Lytechinus pictus: one gene and its partner. The main gene of each other region encodes a partner of the protein of the gene in region 2 in a complex. Links are inferred from orthologs where the notes say so. Each region holds a gene or a part of one and is shown on either strand. Other genes may lie near its edges.

Evidence for each region.
Region 1: the proteins of protein SAND-like (region 2) and vacuolar fusion protein CCZ1 homolog are in contact, whole or in part, in a cryo-EM structure (PDB 8JBE), measured with the Drosophila melanogaster proteins. The link is inferred for Lytechinus pictus from reciprocal best matches to the Drosophila melanogaster genes Mon1 and Ccz1. Residues at the interface, in NP_608868.1 of Drosophila melanogaster: Trp112, Gln113, Phe120, Leu142, Val145, Ile146, Leu149, Phe152, Val153, Gln157, Asp158, Ala159, Ile160, Thr161, Ser162, Ile163, His164, Ala165, Gly166, Ile168, Phe170, Phe172, Arg185, Arg459, Ser464, Arg465, Pro466, Leu467, Lys468, Leu469; in NP_647835.1 of Drosophila melanogaster: Lys48, Gly51, Leu52, Ile56, Phe59, Thr60, Thr62, Phe63, Thr64, Asp68, Cys69, Gln70, Ala71, Leu72, His73, Thr74, Gln75, Lys76, Thr77, Ala114, Glu115, Ala412, Asp413, Asn416, Pro427, Ala428, Glu429, Glu430, Val431, Gln432.

Annotation. Positions count from the first base shown.
Region 1 is NC_087254.1:25,997,919-26,005,717, reverse strand, and holds the start of vacuolar fusion protein CCZ1 homolog, read right to left. Parts: upstream 3,005-7,799; 5' UTR 2,911-3,004; coding exon 2,833-2,910; intron 1-2,832. UniProt on the Drosophila melanogaster protein: Part of the Mon1-Ccz1 guanyl-nucleotide exchange factor complex specific for Rab7 that promotes the exchange of GDP to GTP, converting Rab7 from an inactive GDP-bound form into an active GTP-bound form.
Region 2 is NC_087263.1:8,031,066-8,038,273, forward strand, and holds the start of protein SAND-like, read right to left. Parts: upstream 3,011-7,208; 5' UTR 2,938-3,010; coding exon 2,870-2,937; intron 1-2,869. UniProt on the Drosophila melanogaster protein: Part of the Mon1-Ccz1 guanyl-nucleotide exchange factor complex specific for Rab7 that promotes the exchange of GDP to GTP, converting Rab7 from an inactive GDP-bound form into an active GTP-bound form.

The DNA.
Region 1 (7,799 bases), on a different chromosome or scaffold from region 2:
TCTAGGCAAATTTTTCTAAAAATGACAAGTAGGCCTTTCATTTTATAGTGCAACCTACTCCGGCACTTATCAAAGTGAAGATCTGTCGAGAAAAAATTCTTTCAGGGGCACCAAAATCAGTTCTGGTGAACATTTTTAGGGCTCCATTTTTCTGGGGCTTCCTTTCCACTTCTAAAATAATTCTTTGTTTTATGTTGAGTTTCCTGACAAAACTACCAAATTGTAGACTAAGAGAAATAAAAAAAAAAGTTGACATCAATTCAGACTTCTCTTCCCAAGTAACATTGTTTTTGCCAAACAGTACCCTTTAAAATTAAAGTGTCATAAAATGGAAGTGTACATGTAACATTCCACAAATATAGAAAAATTATTCATAAATCAATCTAATCTAAAATTCAAATAGATCTATAGATAAGTTGAAATCATTCCACAAAAGTCCCATCGTAAATCACTTCACGATGTGCACAGCTCAGCCTCAATCACACTGCACGCACACTCAATCATCCCCAGCAGTGACAGCACTATAGAGCAGACATCTAGGCCGCCAGAACCGGGGAAGAAATCTTCCCATTCCTGCTAAACTGAATGCTAAAGTGCCGACTTTTTTAATGAATTCCAAAGGCAGTAGGACATCTCTCTAGTATAAATCATGTGAAACTATCAATAAATGTTGAATATCACCCAGAATTATTACTTCAGGGGACAATGAAGAGCTTTCCAGGTCTTTTCAAAGCCGAATTCATCGTATTTGTTTGATACGAGTTGATGAAAATTAACCAGACAGTCCCGTTATCCGAAGGGAATCGATATTAATCAATTCAAGAAAATAGCCTCAAAATTTAATTTCTTTATCACTACAATTAATTTTAAAGTATATGAAAAATATCTTTTGATGATTCAATCTTTAATATATATGATGAGTATTTTTGTAAAATTTTGCAAATGGAATAATAATTTCCCTCAAACCTCCAAATCCCCCCTCCATTACAAATTGACTCTTCTCTTACTACATTTGGGGAATTACCCTACCCAATTCATCGTACTCCTCGCTCTGCGCTGCAAGAACAAACGTTGGCTCCACTCACCTGAAGAGTGTTGGCCCGTGCTTAAAGACAATGTATTAGCAGTAACGTTAGATCTAACATTCGGCGGAAATCTGATTTTCGGATCGTTTTTTTGTACATAAAACATCACTTTAATTATAGGAAAGAAATTACATGCAAATTTAAGATAAAATATATAAAATTCAGAGATATTGTACCTTAGACCGCAGTTACTGTTATTTCCTTTCAAATGATGATCAAAACATAATCATCCTCGATCCTTTCATTTGTCATCGTAAGTTGCCATCTTGGATAACGTCATCATCCTTACAGACGTATTTACCAGTCGCTATACATCGCGATTCGTACCATGCATGCCGCTCGCATATTCAACTAATGTACATGTACGTGCACGCTATCAAATTATTAAAGTGCGTTGGAAAACCGGCTGGCGGGCGACTACGCACGAGCAAGTACCAGGCTCATCTAGCACTCCACATACATTATCAAAATTGTCAAAAAACGTAATTTGAAAAGAAAAACCATAATGCCGTAATTTGAATGAAAAAACGTAATGATTACGGCAAAAACGTAATGGTTGGCAGCTCTGAAATAATATAGCAAGAAAATTTTCATTTTTTGTCTCTATTTTTAATTAAGAAAAAAATAATTTAAAGAATCAAATTTACTAAAGGGCCAAGTTGTATGATGAATAGGTGTAATGGAAACTGTCAGTGTAAAAAAATCAAGCATTTGTCCCAAAGAAAAAGAGAAAATAAGCCAAACATTGCCATCCTTATTTTGCCACACATGGACTGAGATATAACTGAGAACAAGGTTATATCTAACCCAGGGAGCTCCCGCCCGCACAGCGGGCGGGAGCCCAGGGGCTTACCGTGTATTTTACCATAATCACGGGACTTGGGTGATTTATGGTCTAAATATTTCTCCAAATGAATTGTGAGAACAGAAATTATGCACTTACCACGATTATATGGATCGAAGGTCTAACGAGTGGCAGTTTCCTGACATCTGGGCACAAACTGGAACCTCAAAAAAACGAAAAGTTCTCTCCTTCTACCCCAGTCTCGATCGGCCATTTTGTTACAATTCATAACAAAAATGGCCGATCGAGACGGGGGTAGAAGGAGAGAACTTTTCGTTTTTTGAGGTTCCAGTCTGTGCCCAGATGTCAGGAAACTGCCACTCGTTAGACCTTGGCTTCATCCATATATAATCGTGGTAAGTGCATGATTACTGTTTTCATAATTCATTTGGAGAAATATTTAGACCATAAATCACCCTAGTCCCGTGAGTATGGTCAAATACACGGTAAGCTCCTGGGCTCCCGCCCGCACAGCAGGCGGGAGTTCCCTGGGTTAGGTTATAATATCATATTCATAACCTTGTTCATTGACATTGAATGAGTGTCAAGAATAGCAAAGGCAAAAAGCAAAGCCTAAATCATGTAAATGCAGCCGTTCCCGATCGCGATATTTAGAAAAGCAGTGGGAATATTGACCTCGAAATGTGACTGAGAGACTTGCCATGACATTTGTAAACAATTCCTGGTGGGGAAATTTGCTCGAAGTTGGCCGGTGCGAAACTGCATTAGCGCCCCACCGACGGCTACATCTTTCGGCAATAGCCAAGACAGCACCTCCACGGAATCAAGTTAATGGGACCACAGATTCTCACCAGTACTCGATTTATAATATACGGAGCAGTGCTACTGCTGCTAGCTAGTGCTAGCGACAGAAACACGGCCTCGGAAAGAACTTATTCTCACCTCTCCTTCTCTGCATTTTATATTTGTATTGTAGATGAAGAAATTTGAAAGGTTCACTATGCTCCGCTGAGAGGTCATTATTCCAGATAAGGTACTTTTTAGGTCTCTTTCTTCGACTTCGTCTTCGCGTATCACGTCCTTAATTCCTTGAACAAAAAGTTAGGATTATGGTGTCGTTAATTTTGTGGGATTGGAATATACAGTGCGTCCCAAAAAAAACTATACACTTTTGAAATGGCTGCCAAATAAAAAATGGAGCACTTTGCTGAAAAAGACTTACATATATGGAAAGCCAATAAAGTCAACTTTCAAATGACACCAAAAAGTTGGAAAACTATTCATGCTTGAGCGAGCACTGCCCACTGAAACAAAGGGTATGAAAATTAGGGTGGGCTGGAATTAGCCTTCCAATTTGTGTCAGTTTTTAAGAGGCAAATCCTTTTAAACTTGCAAAGTTAAGGGCGTTGTGATAAATTAATGATCAACCATGACCAGTTTTGGTTGCATAAGCAAATTTCATAAATTATGTAATTGAACTTTAATGCATTAGTGAGCATAAATTATACTTTTGGGGCAGCATTTCAACTTTATCATTTGGATCTCTTTTTTGGGCAGCATTTCAACTTTATCATGTGGATCTCAGCAATGTGTTCATGGGAGTCTGGAGGATAGGGGGTGAGATAGGATTTAAGTGGGAGAAGCAGGTTGATGGAATAAGGGTCAACAGAACATTGAGTCCCCGCCCCCTCCCTCTTTCCCACCCTCCCCCTCCCTCTTTCCCATCTTCCCCTCCTGTTGTGAGACTGATGGCTATTGTCATGTATGCGTGAAGTCCAGAGCAGAATGTCGATTTAATGATAAATTCTGAATTGGGGCATCAACTTTTTCCTATCAATCATTGAATCAACAATTTATTAGTAAATCAACTCATTCAATGTGCAATGTGATCAATCAAACATTCATTTTTTTTTCAATAAATTATTTCATTAATCATCATAATCATTAAATTTCTTGGTAATGATTCCAAAAAAAAAATTGACCATCAGCCACCGGTCACTTGGCAGTTAAGTTTTGAATAGGCTACAATCCAGGAAAAGAGACAGAGAGAGAGAGGGGGGGGGCTGGGAAATGGAGGTGGAGAAGGGATGGTACATATGACTATTAATATGTAAAAAGGACAAAAAGAAGAGGAATGCCCTTTTAACCAAGTCTTAGCATATCTCGCCCTCTTGCTTGTAACAGGTACCATCATATTACTCTTCCTCTCACGAACACACTTCTGAGGTCCAAAAGATGAATATGCTACACTAAAATTACAACTCCGGCTCACTCATGCATTAAATTTCAATTTAGTAACTCGTGAAATTTGCCCAAGAAACCAAAACTTATCTTACTTATCTTATCATCAATTTAGCTTAACACCCTTAGCTTAGCAAGTTCCAAAGGACTAACCACTCCAAAAAACTGTAAGGCTAATTCCTGCCCAGTCTAGCCGAGCTTAATCTCTCAGAAGAGAAGTGGGGGTTGAGATGGAGAGAGGGGTTGCTTAAATGTTCTGTTGACCTTTATCCCATCAACGTACTTCACCTACCTAAGTCATATTACCCCCTCTTCTCCTGACTCTCATGAACACATTGTTGAGATCCACATGATAAAGACAAAATGCTGCACTAAAAATTGCAATTCATGATCACTCATGCATTAAATTTCAATTTAATAACGCATTAAATTTACACAAACAACAAACTGATCACAAATGATCTTTAATTCACCAAATAACCCTCAACTTTTAAGTACCAAACAAAAAAACCTGAAAGAAATTGGAAGGCTAATTCCGGCCCACCCTAATTTTCATACCCTTTGTTTCAGTGGGCAGTGCTCGCTCAAGCATGAATAGTTTTCCAACTTTTTGGTGTCATTTGAAAGTTGACTTTATTGGCTTTCCATATCTATAAGTCTTTTCCCCCAAAGTGCTACATTTTTTATTTGGCAGCCATTTCAAAAGTGTATAGTTTTTTTTGGGACGCACTGTATATACGGTATATAGAGAGAGACAGAGTGGTGTTATAGGGATGGTCCGGGCTGAAAATATTTATAGCTTAATAAATAGAGTAGAATTCACTGAGCAGATCAGCAGAATGCCGAAAATTTCATCAAAATACGATAACAAATAACAAAGTTATTGAATTTTAAAGTTTAGCAATATTTTGTGAAAACAGTCGTCATGAATATTCATTAGGTGGACATCCCCGTCACATCTCCACTTGTTCTTTTGTATTTTGAATGAATGAATGAATCTTTATTTCGTTTCAATTCCGATATCAAACAACAACAATAACAACAGTAAATTATTGGGAGAACAAGTAAATAGCAAAGAACAAAAGTAAATAATTACAGGATAATATACATAATACATGCACTACTTTTTATGGAACATTAGTAACACCCATGAGAACAGATGGAAATGAAACGTGGTGACCTACTAAGAAGCTTAGCCGCTTGTTGGCCATATGCCACCAGAATGTTAAAAACTTATATTAGCGTGAATCATTTTAAAACATCATAGAACAAGTAAACAAAAAATTGGAGTAAACAACCAAAGTACAGATATACATATTTACAAAAGATACACTAAAAAGTAACAAAAAGGTGAAATGCAGAATGCAAACATTCTATTAGACCTAAAGTATAAGAATCTGAAATTCGAAAAGAAAGAAAAGAGGAAAATATAAAGAAAATAGGCAAAGCTCTATTGTTGCATAGATAATTGTGGGAAGAATACAATTTCTAAAGTTAGACGAGATATAACAAGCAGGTATTCGTTTACTGATTTAAGTACTTCTTCAGTAAATCGGTCTTTAACTTGTTTCTAAAAACACTAAGGCTAACTGATTGGTTCAATGAAGAAGGAAGGGAGTTCCATAATTTTGGCCCTGTATAAACAAATGTATTTAGCCGAAAACTAGTTTTGACCAATGGCAAGTGGAGAAAAGAAACTTGTCTTGTATAGTAAAAATGGATTTGGTCATTTCTAGGGCAAGTGGAAGTTCTCTTTTATTTAATTGATACATAATGCAACCAAGGTTGAGATCAAATATGTCATGTAAATTAAGGAACTTGTTTTCATAAAACAAAATATTTGTGTGAGATCGTGAACTTACTCCACATACTAGTCTAATTACCCTTTTCTGGACTTTAAATAACCCATCCAAATGAACTTTAGCAGCGTTACCCCAGGCATTATATAAAAAATTAGGTTTATTCAAAGTTTTTCTCCAAGAACTAGAAAAATTGTATTGACAACTGATTTAGTGCATTAGATATTTATTGCTGCAACTTATTTCATGATATGGGAGACATATTATTCACACAAGTATGAAATAATGAAAACAAATATGATTTTATGTAATAACATAAGAAAACGGAAAGTGGGGATGTGACATCATCAGCCCACCTAATGAATATTCATGACGACTGTTTTCACAAAATAAACTTTAAACTTCAATAACTTTATTATTTGTTATCCGATTTTGATGAAATTTTCAGCATTTTGCTCAGTGAACCCTATTCTATGTATTAAGATATAAATATTTTCAGCCCTGACCATCCCTTTATTGAGTCAACAGATTTGGGGTACATTTTGTCTCATAATGCATGGCCCTGGGATGGGGGGTTGGGTTGGGTTGGGTTGGGTTGGGTTGGGTTGGGTTGGGTTGGGTTGGGTTGGGTTGGGTTGGGTTGGGTTGGGTTGGGTTGGGTTGGGTTGGGTTGGGTTGGGTTGGGTTGGGTTTGGTTTGGTTTGGTTTGGTTTGGTTTGGTTTGGTTTGGTTTGGTTTGGTTTGGTTTGGTTTGGTTTGGTTTGGTTTGGTTTGGTTTGGTTTGGTTTGGTTTGGTTTGGTTTGGTTTTGGTTTTGGTTTTGGTTTTGGGTGGTTGGTTGGTTGGTTGGTTGGTTGGTTGGTTGGTTGGTTGGTTGGTTGGTTGGTTGGTTGGTTGGTTGGTTGGTTGGTTGGTTGGTTGGTTGGTTGGTTGGTTGGTTGGTTGGTTGGTTGGTTGGTTGGTTGGTTGGTTGGTTGGTTGGTTGGTTGGTTGGTTGGTTGGTTGGTTGGTTGGTTGGTGGATGGATGGATGGATTTATTGATTGATTGATTTCATTTGGCAAGTCACCATAACACATACAGTAGCATTAAAAATAGAAATTACTCAATAGTATTTTGTACCAGGTACGATCGAAATACTATTGAGTAATTTCTATTTCTTTTTCTGCGATATATTAATAATTTCATAATTAAATTATTTTTCCTTTTAATAATGTATATAACAATGATGCCGTTTATTGATTTATGAGCCATAAATCAATAACCGTCTGGGATAAAACCTACACGGCATGTCAAATTGCGTTACAAATCCATATAAATTCACATCAAAATGGAACAAATTATCTGGTATACTAACATGTAACTATTAATAGTCACTCACCCTTAGTGGTGTATAAGCCAAGTCAGCTCCATCAATAAATCACACCCTAAACATGGCGTTCATTAAATTAGCCACGTCAGCATGCCCTATTTATATTTCATCTAGTATGCGATTTAAAAAAGAACAATCTCAATAATTATAGCCCTAAAATTATTTTAGATACGGCGAGCGAAACTAATGATAAAAATAATCATCAGTTTTTAAAATGCTTTCACAATTTATCAATTATCAAATTCTGTTTGGCGACCAGTGAATATCGAAACAATAGTAACCGCTTCAAAGTTCTAAAAGCGTCAAATACCAATTGATTAAATTCCTGATTACCCCAACATGATCATAATCAAACAAATCATGCTTTTCTTGCAAAAGGTATAAACATTCATCTGGAAATAACTTTCATCCCTAAAGTCACATGACCAGTACCGTAAGCGGCAAAATTTAATGCCACGCCCAAAACCCAATCTGTACCAACATTGTACACATGAGGCAA
Region 2 (7,208 bases):
GGAAAATGATACTCAGAGTGCATGAGAAAGTTGCCTTTGAGACCCGTGGTTTTCTTGACAGCTGAGGAAAACTTCAGCTGTGCGAATATTTAGCTGTTATATCAATTAGTAAAGACTAGAGTATATCGACAAATTTGAGCGGGGAGCGAGGGTGGGTGGAGGGAAAATGCGAGATGGGATAGAAGGGGAGAGATTTATTGCAAGAGGGAAATTGAGAGAAACAGATAGGAGTGCAAGAAGGGGGGGGGGGGGAGTGAAACTAGAGGGAGGAGGGGGTGGCAAGGACATTATGCGAGTCCAATCATCAGTCATGGTTCATAAAGAAACAGAGATGGAGAGAGGTGATTTCATGCAAGGGGGGAACGCAAAGAAAAAAAGAACTTGGCTAGAGATATAAGGAACAGAAATTTAGATGGAGGGGATGGCGAGGACATTCAGTGCGAGAGAGAGGAAGGGAGAGAGATTGCAAGAGAGAGGGGAAGAGAGAAATCGAAACTTCAGAAACAGGGGATTGGAATGGAGACCATTCATTTATGTACAAGAGTGTGCTCGTCCATTCGTTCATGTACAAATTGATGAAGCTATAGAACTATTTAGGGAAGTCCATGCGCCTGCGCACTTCAGATTTTTAGCTCAACTTATGAGTAATTCATGTACCATAGCGTTTCCATGTACGGAAAAAATATTCGCGGCCGGGCCGCGAATATTTTTTCCGTACATGGGAACGCTATTGCCGATGACCCTTTCTCAAGTTTCGATTTCTCTCTTCCCTTCTCTCTTGCAATCTCCCTTCCCCTCTCTGTCTGTAATAGCTCGCCTCTATGCTCTGTCTTACTTAGCACACGCCCTAGCTCTGTTTCTTTATGAATCATGAATGAATTGACTCGCCGTAATGTCCTTGTCACATCTGCAAATATCAGTGTTTCCCAGAGGGGGGGGGGGGACCAAAGAGAAAAGGAACTAAATTGGCCATCATAGAGAAAGAAACACTGATATTCGCAGATGGGGGTGACGAGGACATTACGGCGAGTCAATTCATTCATGATTCATAAAGAAACAGAGCTAGAGGCAGAGCATGTGCTAAGACATATGGAAGCAGGAGACCGTCAAAAACACGAATATACTTCGTGTCGTAATTCAATTTACTACACGACGTAAATAATACGTACTGTCAGTAGGGTGTCTGAAGCCACACTGGAAAGTGTCAGCATAAAACAGGATGATTTAGGGGAAAATATGGCACATTTTTTCGGGAAGTTCAGGCTACTAGAAAAATGTGATCTGAATTATTATCTTGTGTTTGGCATGTATGGACAGAGAAAATTCAGGGGCTTCTTTTGACAGTAAGGACAAGTCTATATGATCATTTTAAATAAGGATTTAGAGATAAATTGCAAACCCTTATTTTTGTGTGTGTTGAGATTGCCATTTCCCCATGCGTTTTCTATGGGAAAATGAAATTTCTGTTTTGCACAATTTTTTTTACTTTGTCGCAATTTTTCATTGTGATCTGGTTTCCAAATCTTTATAAAAATCATACCATCAGAAAGAGCATTAAAAAATCCTATTGGACTCTTTATGGACAAGTTTTTGGCATTAATAATAAATGTATTAACAGCTCTCGGAAGCTAAAAATTTGGATTTGTGTGTGTCCATTTCTTAACTACACAGTCTATGGCAGAGAAATGCTGAAAATTGACCTAATTTCATTCTTCTTTTTTGCAGCCAATAATTGGATTTTTTTCAAAAATGTTACATTTCTGTCAGTCTGAAGGTCATTTCTCTTCAAATTCACAAAGAAAATGTGATATTTTCTTGAAATAAGAAAAATAATTTTTTTCTCCAGACACCCTACTGTCAGTAGAGGCGCACGGTCAATATGGGAGACTCTCTCCAATAGGGGAGACAATCTCCCACATTGGAGACTTGCTTTGCGAAAGGACAAACGAAACAACACCAACAAAAGCATGATTTTTTCCACCCAAAATTTTGTCTCACTGAGGTCAGAAGCCCATTTGTTTTGTGTGTGATTGACAACAAAAATCCTTATCAAAACAAAAGTAGACGGTGAATTTTTAAAGTAGACGGTGAAAAGGGGTAATTTTTCATGAGGAATCTCCTTATCACATTTTTATTTGCCGCCAAGGTAATCCTTTTGCAGCAAATGTAAACAAAGGAAATTGGTCTCCAAAACTGGAGACTGTCTCTGAAATTGGATACCCAAATTCTTTACAAAAGTCTCTGATATTGGAGATAATCTCCCACATTGGAGAATGGAGACAGTCTCCAATATTGGCCGTGCGCCTCTACTGACTGTCAGACTGTAGTAATTCAAATTACTACACTACGTATTATTTACGTCGTGTAGTAAATTGATTTACGACACGACGTATATCCGTATTTTTGACGGTCTCCTGCTTCCATAAAGACAGGGCATACTTAGATAGTCATAGAGGCGAGCAATTACACAGACAGAGTCAGAGAGGGGAAGGGAGATTGCAAGAGAGAAGGGAAGAGAGAAATCGAAACTTGAGAAAGGGTCATCGGCAGTGCTCGTCCATTCGTTCATGTACAAATTGATGAAGCTAGAGAACTATCGCGAAGTCCATGCGTCTGCGCACTTCAGTTTGTTAGCTCAACTTATGAATAATTCATGCTCCATAGCGTTCCCATTGTAGGCCTAGGGCTAGGCCTACGGAAAAAATATTCGCGGCCGGGCCGGATTTTACACAACACAAAATCTTCCCCGCGGGACTACGGTAGAACGTACGCCCAGCTGTTCAACAAGTGTCCGTCAACAACTGCAGGAAAAGAATCCACCTTATTCAATCTAATTTTTCAACGAGCACAATCATCTAGCCCATCTCACCTTGCGCCTGGTTCCTCTCCTCGCAATACAACCGTCTCTTCCCCGACTGAAGTCGCTGCAGTAGCCATACTTTTCTTCCAACTTTGGTTATCATAACCGAAACAGCTCAATTGCACTCAAATTTCATGAAGTTAACGACCATTTTCGATATACAATACAGTATGGTATAGGTAGTGCCCACAAGGCAAATAAACCTGCAAAATCAAGGGCCATAAACTGGCATAAACTGCTTGCTTGGATTTTCTCTAACCATGCTAACCAACATTCGATGGCGTATTAGGCGGGGGGGGGGGGTAGGATCAGTCTGCCCCCCCCCCCTGGCGGAGGTCACCGGGGGAAACGGAAAAGTGGAGAAGAAAGAAAGAAATAAAAAAGGAAGGAAGGAATGAAAGAAAGAAAGCAAAAAGAAAGGGACTCAAAGAAAGAAGAAGGAATGAAAAAAAAAGAGGACAAATAAAATATGGAAAGCAAATAAAGGAGAAGAAAATGGGAAGAAATGAGATAGTGGGAAGCCTGAAAAGGCAAACGGACGGAAAGATGAAAAAGGAATAAAAGAAAAACACATGAGAAAAAATAAATCAAACCGAAATACTAATAGATGAGTAAAAAAGAGTGGGAAATAAATTTAGAGATGATAAAATGGAACTGTGGAATTTATGGCGAGAAATGGAAAGAAAAGAGGCAAGAAAAAATGTAAATGAGGTGGAATGGAATGAAGTAAAATGATAGGGGAAAAGCTTAAGAAAAAGTCCCCCCGCCCCGCAAAAAAAGGAAGTTCAGGCAGTAGAAGCTGCTGTTTTAGGACCTTTATTCTGTAGTGAACTTTTTTGTACAGCATGACAGTGGATTTCGCCTCTTTGTCACTTTGATCTCCTAGACTAGTAGGATCACTGATTTGCAGAATGATTTTTTTTTTTTTTGGGGGGGGGGGTAGAAACAATTTAGTTCTTGATGAACCTAACTCTAGATGTAGATTAGCCGGAATTGTAACTTGCGAGAAAACTTGAAGCATCTTATTTATACTCTAAAAGTCTCTATCATAGACTCTATGATTTTTTTTTTTTTAATTAATATTTTTGAGAAAAGTGTATGTCATAGATTCAACCATGTATAGTTCCGTGCAATCTGGGCAGGCTTTTTCCGCCCTTTCACGTTTGACAGAAATTTCACAATTTGGCCTTGGGAGAGGGGATCTTGAGTCAATGGGAGTGCATCTTCCTTCGGGATATATCTTCATCCGTCTGGGCATCTTCCCAAGTCATGGAGTCAGTGTCGGTAGATGATTCTCCCACTGAGGAAGATGGGGTCACTGATTTGCAGAAGGATTTTTTTTTTTTTTTTTTGGGGGGGGGGTAGAAACAATTAAGTTCTTGATGAACCTAACTCTAGATGTAGATTAGCCGGAATTGTAACTTGCGATAAAACTTGATGCATCTTATTTATACTCTAAAAGTCTCGATTATAGACTATGATTGTTTTTTTTTTTCATTTTTGAGAAAAGTGTATGTCATAGATTCCACATTCCTATTGCAGGAAGTTGTAAACTTTAAACGCTTCATACCTCAAAAAACGTCACATGTAGGCCTACTACTCTTGATGCCTTAAGTGACCTGTTCTATTACAGAGTCAGAGAGAAAGAATGAAATAAATAAATGAAAAGCCGAAATATATAGAATTGAAAGAGAAACAATATCAGGTCTTTTTTTTATACAAAATCCTGAACAAGTGATGATGGCACAATGTTGAAAACTTATTTGATGGAGATTTGCTGATTGAACCAACTATGACAGGGGACGCGGAACGGTTTTCAAAGTGGGGGGGGGGGGGGGGCTGACCATGCTAAAAACCACAATCATATGGTCATTTTTACGTTTTTGTACAAGGTTTTGGAAAAAAGTGGGGGGGGGGCTGAAGCCCCCCCCCCCCCCGGTTCCGCGGCCCCTGTATGATACAGTGTTGACAAAGTAAGATTGGTGGGACAGAAGAAGATGGTACAACGTTGGAATCTGGTTTGTTGCTGGGTTGTTTGCAAAGCATTGATGGCACTTCGTTGGATTTGTTTAAAATATGATGCTGGACCAACCAACGTTGCACCAACTCTGCCATACCTGCCTGATCTGGACATAATGATTTCAAGTTCAGTGTTGATATTTTGGTGTTGGTGTTAGGTCAATTTTTACACGATTATAACACGAAAATTCACTCACTAGTTGTCGTGATGTCAATAATGTGATCTGGATCAGTTTTAAAAGCTCATAATAAGTTTTGGAGCTAGGGGAAGTAATCCAAATTCCAACACCAACACTAACACCAAGGCCAACACCGGACTTGAAATCACCCAAAGATTATGCACTCATGAATATTCATTGATAACCAAAATTTTAGGTAATAGTCCATAATACAGCTATAATGATTAACGTATTTATGTTTATTCAACATTTCCACCATGGAAAGCTTGATAAAAGTACGTGGTTCAGTTATTACCATATCATTTATAATCGAAACATGTTATTCTAAGTGAAATTTTCCAGATTGATTATAGAAAAATGTTTTTAACCGTAGCCTGGTAGGTATAGCAAAGTTGCTCTACATATAGGAGTCAACGACATCACTCGGTGGATAGGTAAATGGTATTTAGGATTATAGGATGAGAAGGGTTAATAATAATAATAGTAATAATAATAATAATAATAATAGTAGTAATAATAGTAATGATGATAATAATAATAAAAATTACGTTTTTTACCGAGGGTAGCCACTTCAATTAGGAAACTGCATTACCAGCGGGCCCTGAATGACATAATATTACCCTTCCCCAATCTAAATGCTGAGCGTCTAGCAAGAAGGCAGAAGTTTCCATTTTTATAAGTCTTTGGTATGACTCGGCCGAGAATCGAACCCACGGCCTCCGTTCATGAGGCGGACGCTCCACCATTGAGCCACCATGCCCGGTTATAGCCACCATGTTAGAGTAAAGAGTTGTCAAGGTAAACTTCACATTGAAACCAATAATTTTTTTTTTTTTTAAGATTGCAAGAATATGTTCGAATAACGTTGTGACAATGTTGTAACAACATTAGAACGATGTTGCCAGACAACGTTGGAGCAATGTTGCTAAACAACATCAAACCAGCGTTGTAAACATAGTTGGACCGACGATGTACGGGAGTGTACTTCCATCGATGCTGCAACGTTGCCCTCTTATGTTGCAGCAACGATGTGATTGATGATACAGCCAACATTGAACCAACGTTGCCAGACAACGTTGGAACATTTTTAGCCGATAACGCTGATCCGACGTTGGAAACATTATCGGTCTGACGATGTATGCGCATGCACTTCGATCGATGATGCAACGTTAGAAAAGTTTTCCCTACGTTGGTCCAATTATTTTTTTCCAACGCTGTAATTCAGCCGACGTTGGAATAGCTTCGCCAGATAACGTTGGAACATTGTTGCCAGACAACGATGGTAGAACATTGTAAATATTGTTGGACTGACGATGTATGTACGTGCACTTCCATCAATACTTCAACGTTGTTCATAAAATGTGGCAACGTCGTGACTGACGATTCAGCCAGCAATGGATCAAAGTTGCTAGACAACGTTGGAGCATTTTTTGTCTGACGATGTATGCGCGTGCACCTATGTCAATGATGCAACGTCGCTAGCCAACGCTGAGGCAACGTAAAAAAAAATCCCAACGTAAATTGGTCCAACGCTGTATTGTTACCTGGGAACACGGCCAGGCTACCGAGGATAAAAAAAAAGAACGTGAAGAAAGAATGGGATGGCGTAGATATGTAAATGAAGTTTATAATTATCTTAATTGCTAAATTTCATGCAATAACGGTCGCAATCCAGACAAAAATTAGTGAACTTCAATATGTTCCGGAGGCACCACCCAAGCATTGCCTATGTCCCTAGCCAAGGCCTAGACATGCCCCTTTAATTACATTATTTACAATTTAAATTTCGCAACGCCAAAAATCTTTTTCGCTATCTCGTGAAGAAACAAAAAGAGAGGAAAAGTGTACGATATTTTATTTTCTAAATATCATGTCAAATCCACCTCTAAATAAGATTGTAATGTAAAGGTAAAAAAGAAATCAATAAATAAAAATTTTCTATTGCTTCGCTCCCTCGGGACTTTTATTTAAAAAAAAAAGTTTTGCCACTCGCTCTATGCTGTGCCCAATGCATTGTTTTACTCATCACGCTACTTCCGCTTTAGTCTACAAATGTATATAAACCGACATCTGCAGTGTGTGTATCACAGCTGATTCAAACAGTCTGCATAGCACTGATAGCAGACTAGGTCTACTGTGACTGCAGATTG